Linked DNA regions of Danio rerio. The protein of the gene in region 2 interacts with the protein of the main gene of each other region in a biochemical or structural test. Links are inferred from orthologs where the notes say so. Each region holds a gene or a part of one and is shown on either strand. Other genes may lie near its edges.

Evidence for each region. The genes of interacting proteins can lie anywhere in the genome.
Region 1: the proteins of tmpoa (region 2) and lmnb1 form a complex in vitro, tested with the Homo sapiens proteins (2 studies listed by BioGRID). The link is inferred for Danio rerio from reciprocal best matches to the Homo sapiens genes TMPO and LMNB1.

What each region holds. Positions count from the first base shown.
Region 1 is NC_133185.1:18,316,619-18,320,612, reverse strand, and holds the start of lmnb1 (lamin-B1), read right to left. Parts: upstream 2,801-3,994; 5' UTR 2,761-2,800; exon of another isoform or gene 2,637-2,760; intron 2,510-2,636; exon of another isoform or gene 2,484-2,509; 5' UTR 2,477-2,483; coding exon 2,115-2,476; intron 1-2,114. UniProt on the Homo sapiens protein: Lamins are intermediate filament proteins that assemble into a filamentous meshwork, and which constitute the major components of the nuclear lamina, a fibrous layer on the nucleoplasmic side of the inner nuclear membrane.
Region 2 is NC_133179.1:17,454,669-17,458,168, forward strand, and holds part of tmpoa (thymopoietin a), read right to left. Parts: intron 3,287-3,500; coding exon 3,137-3,286; intron 2,061-3,136; coding exon 1,924-2,060; intron 1-1,923. UniProt on the Homo sapiens protein: May help direct the assembly of the nuclear lamina and thereby help maintain the structural organization of the nuclear envelope. Possible receptor for attachment of lamin filaments to the inner nuclear membrane.

The DNA of each region.
Region 1 (3,994 bases), on a different chromosome or scaffold from region 2:
TTTAATCATGTTAAAATAATATATATTTTATATTGACCTACTATCACTTTCTGCAAATGCACGCTGTCATTTTAAATTTAGAAGACATATTTGTAAGTGGCTTAAAAATATATATATACCCAAATCAAATTAACATTTTACTTGAAACATCCAAAAAGTTTACCAAGAATAGCCACATTTCAACCATCCATTCAGGTTCTCGAGTGTGCCCCTTCAAGACCAATAACTTTAGTTTAAAAGGGGGTTAACTACTTCTTGAGTGCATCAAAGAACTTCTTGATATCGATATGAAGCATTACTCCGGTTTTTAATCTAGGGTCTACCACATTGCACTGGCAGAAAGCATAACAGTACAAGGGAAGATGGAGGAGGAACTGAAATCTCTTTAGATTTCTTAGTTTAAGTAAATTAAATAGATAAATGCATTTTCTTTTGTAAAAAAATCATTGTGCATACTTTTGGACTAAAAGCCCTATAAGGGTGTATTGTGCAGTTTGATAATTAACACAGATGCAACTGAATAAAGATGTCATATTTGTGGAAAAAAACAACAACATAAATATTAGTTTAACATGACTGAAGTTGCACGGACTGCACTCTTAAAACCAGAAATCTATTCAATTAATATTTTTACACTAAAACATCAATGCAGGAGTCTCTAATCCAGAAACAGAAAACCAATTTTCCCATCTCTATTGTCATCATGCTTGTTTCTACTTTCCAGTCCTGCTAATATAATTTTGGGGATGAACCTGGCTTCATGGCTTGAGGTTGGAGGTTTGAGCCAGGCTGGTCTGTTGATGGTTTGGTCTTGAACTAACTTAACTTGATCATGATTAGGAAGCTAATAATCAAGATACTTTCAAGTTTATTATTCGTGCTTCTGTAATCTCCAAAGCTCTTTCTCTTGAGGTGAACTTAAAATCTGCAGAATGCTGCTGGAATGTGTGGAATGTCTCACACACAGCCGAGACTGGCTAGAAGACATGATCGGTCCAACCATAAGCTTTTTCTTTCTAATTTTGAATGGAAGGTTTATTTAATCTTAAAAAAAAACAGTCATCTACAGACCCTTATATCACCACAAGCAAAAGTCTTTCCTTTCATTTTTAGAATAACAAATACATTTTCTTTTCATGAAATCTAAAGAGATTTTGTATATTCAAGAGGTGAATGAATCAAGGTTCAATCAAAAAAGTATTTGGAAGAGAAGTTATTGCTTAACATGACAAATCATTTTCATTCACGTCTGCATTGGCTAATCAAGCTCTTTCTAGGTATACTAGAAGCTTTCAAGCATGCATGTTGAAGGAAGATGGAGCTAAACTACGCAGGACACTGGCGCTCCAGGATCAAAACAGAGTTTGGGCACCCCTGGTGTAAAATCACTGATCAAACTTCTACATGAATTCAGAAGATGACTTGTTGGGTTTTGAGACAGTGGGTTCGGAAAGACATGTCAACTCTCATTTTCAGAATGACTTATTCTGACTTTAACTGACTCTATAACAGAATATCAAAACATTTGTTACTCACATTAGAAGACATACAAAGAGCCGATTCACACTGAAACTCTAAAGCAGCTGCTGAACATTCACATCTTCCAGCTGCTCTACACCAATAAGACTGTTCAGTGTAAAGCACTGAAACAACACTAACGACTGCTGCTCCTGTCAATCAAGCAACAAATGCAGGTCACAACTCTGATGAATAAATTAGTCTAAAATGTGCAATACGGTCTCCCAATGTGCATGGCAATAAAACTGGTTAGTGTGAGACCAATTCATCACACATCTACTCAAATCCCTAGTTAGAAAAGGACAGCTGACAGGTCCTATATGATGGCAAGCTTTGGGCTAACAACTGAGATTTCCAATGTAGAAAGCTGAAAAACTCTAAACAAAAAACTCTAAAAGGCCAGGAATGGGGTATACATTTTTTATTTAAGTGATCAAATTAAAAAAATTATTCTCTCAACTAATGGTAACACATAGCCAGTTGTTATGCATGTAGCAGTGATAGGTCAGCGGAAGCTGCTTGTAATAGTTTCTAAATAATTCTAAAAATCTGCTCTGGATAAAAAAAAAAAAACTTTATATTTTTAAATTACTCACGTGTGCTGTAGCTGCTCTTGCTCGCTTTTAATCTTGCCCAGTTCAATCTGCAATCGTGCGCGCTCCCGTGCCGTGTCATCAAGCGCCTTCCGTGCGTCCGCCAGCTCGGTTTCGTAGAGTGTTCTGAGCCCCGTGAGCTCGCGGTTCCGCACATCCTCTCGTTCTCTGATCTGTATTTGCAGGACGCTGTTCTCGGACTCCAGACTACGGACTGTGTCGATGTAGGCGGCAAGCCGGTCATTGAGCTGCTGCAGCTCCTCTTTCTCTTGCAGCCTGGAGATCCGCGCGGGGCTCAGTGGAGTGCTGCTGGTGCCGCGGGACAACGACTGCTGCCCGGCCGGAGTACACGCCGCGCTCGCCATTCTTCAGCTGAATTATGAGTAAAACAAGATTCACTGTGAATTATAAATGTCTGGTCATTCTTCGACTAAATAACCACCAGATGAGGATTTAACGTGAATAGCAAACATCTAATCAAATGAATCAACGCTAATGACTACGAATACGACAAAAACGATTTACCTTGTGGTAAAGTATAAAAACAAAACACCTAACAAAGTGTAACCCTAAAAGTGATCTTCTAGACACTACTGTATCCTACATTAGTATTAATGTGAAATATAAAATAAATGTTTAGGTGTCTTACTGTGAGTCCAGTGGCATGAAAGAATGAACTGAACTAATATGGCCGCTCATCAGAACCACGCTGACATGTGACCACATACGCTCAATCAGCAACCTCCACGTCATCAGACGGTCAACGGTGCAGTTGAGACAAAATTCAAACAGCACACAAATACGCGCTGAAAGTATCATTTAATATGCACGTGCCCTTCGCTCTTGTTATAATGAATATAAACAAAGTAACAATCCAATGTAGTCAGACTACATTTTACGCGATGATTTTGGTCGATAACTGTAATCAACAACAAAACAGAATTGAGATGTTAGAAAAGAAGAAAAAAAAAATAACGATTTTTTTTCCAACACATTTTTCCAAACATAATTGTTTTAATAACTCATCTCTAATAACTGATTAATTTTATTTTTGCCATAATGACAGTAAATATTAGATATTTTTCTTTAGCTTAAATTTCTATACAGCTTAAAGTGACATTTAAAGGCTTAACTAAGTTAATTAGGTTAACTCGACAGGTTAGGGTAATTAGGCAAGTTATTATAAAACGATGGTTTGTTCTGTAGACTATCGGGATAAAATCAGCTTGAAGGGGCTAATAATTTTGACCTTAAAATGGCTTTTTAAAATATTTAAACTGATGTTATTCTGGCCGAAATTAAATAAATACTCTCCAGAAAAAAAAATATCTGACATACTGTGAAAATTTCCTTGCTCTGCTAAACATTATTTGGGAAATATTTAAATATATATATATATATAGAGAGAGAGAGAGAGAGAGAGAGAGAGAGAGATGTGTGTGTGTGTGTGCGCGCGCGCGCGCATGTAGAAACTGGAAACAAGAATAACTACAAAAATAAATGTATCACAATACGCATCGCTTGCCTTCGTGTATAAACTGAAACATCAGTTTAATAAATCAAAACAGATGTGCAACATACGACTACAACTAAACTTAAACTAAATTAAAACCAATTTAAACCATTACTGACATTAACTAGTACAATTAAAATTAAAGCATGTACCACATTACTGTAACTGTACAGCATTCACAACGTAACATGTTTCTCGGCATATTAAGTATTCAACTGAAAGTGCATTCATACTTGAACATTTATTTATTGTTATCCAAGAATGTAATGTGTCAAAAGCTTGCAAAGTATTCAGAGAGGGAAAAAATTACAATGGGTCAACATCAAACCAGCCAAGACTTCCTGTAGAAAAGCTGTACAACATTTGGCTG
Region 2 (3,500 bases):
ACCCCACGCTTCCAGTCTGACGCATTTGTGTGTGTATGAATAGAAGTCTATGGGAGGAAAAGCCCAGTGTGACCGCACCTTACGTGTGTTGGAGTAGGGTTGGAACTAAACTGTGCAAAGCTGCGGCCCTCCAGGGACACCCCTGGACTGAACAATCAAGAATAAACTAAAAGAAATGTAATTCAACTCGATTCATTTAAAATGAGTTCCATTTATATTATAAATTTATATTTTTCCTCTTCAAAAGTGTTTGTGTAACCTAAACAGAAGTTTTTTTTCCTCGCAGTTCTGCGATTATAAAACATACAATAAATTCAATAAATGCATTAACAATACCATGGTTAAAACATTCAAAAATAGTCAAGATACAAGTTGCTAACCAGTTACAATAAGATTTCGTTGCAAATAGACATGGGACAAAGTGTACCGCCGTTTGGAATAGAAATAGTTTGTGTTTTTGAAACTAATGAATGACAGCAGAAGTCATTGATTCATTTGAATTATTCAGCCTGACATGTTTACTGCTCCGAAATATTTGAAGTTTTTTTAAAAAAAAAAAAAAAAGAATATATTTTAGAGCAATAATCACAATACCATGAAACCGTAATATTGTTATTTTGATGATATTGTTACATTATTGTTTTCAAATCCAGAATGGAAACATTAATACACAATGTGCACATATTATAGTCATGTGACAGCCTGAAGAACGTCAGGTCTTTTCTACAGCAGGTGGTGCTGCAGTACTCATAAAAGAAAAAGCTGGGAATATATTCAGGTTGGATGGGGTTAAAAAAGAAAAAGGAATTATTTATATTGGAGAGAAAATGGTCTTCTTTTCTTTTTTGTCCAGTAAAGGGTGGAGGCATGTAGTGATACTGTGTGAACTTTATAAAAGTTTTAAAAGTCTTTGATAACAGAATCCTCTCAGCTAGAGGTTTACAAGAAGCCTAAACAGAAAAGTTTCAGATATGCAGAACTGAGTAAAGTCACACAGCAATGAGAAAGCTACGCATGTCTGAAGGAAAGAAGGGAAGGAATAAGAAGATAAATAAAAGAGGATTAAAGTCTGGGTCAACTTAAAGCCGAAGTAAAAAAAAAAAAAAAAACAGACAAGGGATATGAAATGAGGAGAGCTGCTAGCTGTAATTAAAATCAAGTGGGCCCTCATATCTACAGTCTGGGGATTTTGTTTCATTTACCACACAGTCTGAAACTTCTTTTTAAGAACAGTTCGAATTAATCAACTGAAATGAGACCACTTACATTACACACTTACTTGCTTGATTGCAACCAACCAGCAGATTCATTAAATGGAAAATAAACTAACTGGATATTTTGGAGTGTTCGGAAACAATTTCAGTTACTGTTTTTAAAAATATCTGCATGTAAACTTTCACAACCCTCTAATTCTGTGAATTTTGTAAGTAATTATTTGTACAGGACATAAATGAGGAATTTCTCAGTAAAAAAGTATGCATTACATGATACAAAATAACAAAAACAGGTGTGTTGAAACAATGACAAACTTGCCAAGTCATTTAGTGGAAAAGCAAGTTTTTACGTAAAAAAAAAACAGGATGCAAGATAAGAAAATTAAAATGATAAAACACTAAACAAGTGTAAACGGGATTAAACATTCATGTATTTGACTTGGCTCATGTACTTACTCACCGCATACCCTAACATGACCTAACATGTGAACTTTATGGGATGTTTTTATCAAGTACAACAAAGCAATCCTTCTCTTGCCACCCACATCCTTTTCACATGCTTAATTTTCCACTTGCTCATATCGAGTCACGTAACATGGGTTTATTCGTTCATAGTATGGAAGCACCTTGCACATGATGCAAACGTGATGTAATAACATTTAAAACACCTGGAAAAGGGAAAGAATGAATGCACCAATTTCATCCTTACCCTAGTGTGTTGCCCACTGCGTGTCCTGCTGGTCACTGGTGTTTTCCCTCGACTCCTGACTGGTCTCTCCACAACAGGGATCAGTTCAGCCTCCACTTCTGGTTCAGGCACAGTCACGGGGGCCGGAGCTACGGGTTCTAACAGACATGCAAGACGAAGTTAAACAAGTTCATACTATTGCATCTTATTTATTTATTATAACGCCAGCTTATTTGACAATATCGTCATAGCAAAAATATTTTATGAATAATACAAATATAATACATTTAATAAAAACATTAAAACAAACAAGTTGCATTACATTGAACTGTTTGAATTAATATATACGCAGTAATGAAATATCCTTAAATTAGTAGTTTTCTATATTTGTTTTATGTATTTTATTGCATCATGAGACCTTGATCATTCCTCCAACAACTTTTAACCTTGAAAAGTTTTAAAAAGAGACTTTTATTTTAATAGTTTAAAGTGATATATGGTGTTGGTGTTGCATAACGGTACAAAATCTGCCAGTACATTTTATTATTTTACACTATTTTTTCTTTCCATATTATTATTTCTTAAACATATTTTTTCAAACTACTAAAACATCAATAAGTCACTTTTTTGAACTGTAGAGCTGAATTATCCACATCACGAATTACAAAATACAGAAGCAGATATGTTATACACTGTAGGTTAAAAAAAACAGTTAATTTTACATTTGATTACTCAATAAATGGGGCAGGACAAAATAGCGATATACATAAGGTGGCTATTCTATAAATGGCAGATTGAACCTCATATCAAATGTTGCAATTCTAAGAAATATATGTGATGTTAATAAAAGTAGTATATCTTATGACTTTAATGCATTTATCCCTCTTGATTTACAAATATGATATATTGTGGATGGTTTTCTTGCGATACATCACTAATATGGTGACCTGTCATTATCAGGGGCAATATATCATGATGATATCGTAGTGTAATACGGTACCTGAATATCGGACTATTATTTCACTTTGGTCTTTGTTCTATCTTAAATATTCATTCTTGCAATTTCTTTGATTCACTCCTCTGCAAGATTATTCCAATCAAAGGTAATGATTTTATTCCAAGTAGAGCTTTATGTCAGAAAAAATTGTATTCACATAGAAATATAAAAATCGCAAGAGAATAAAATAGTACAATGTCAGATTTTTTTTTTTTTAGGTATTTGGTAATGTGTTACCTTCCTCCCTGTCGCTGTACTGGTCTGAATCATTGTTGCCATTCTGATTGCCATCAGTCTGTGACGTCTCTGAGGGAAGAGCCACAGCTACAGGAGGACCCTGATCCAGCAGCTTCTGAAGCCGCTTCTCATACACCTTCCTAGTGGATGCTGATGTGAAGAAGACATTAAATGTCAGTATTAGGTCTACACAAGAATCATCCTGCCCAAAATGTAATGTTTATTAAAGAACACATATATTTAGGAGATATAGTTGTTATTACAATTAAGACTAGTGTGTTATTTTCCACTTGATTTCCACTTGGTTTTCTGGAAATCCGAACAGTATTGAGGTAAAATTGAAAATAAAGCACCGTCTATTTGA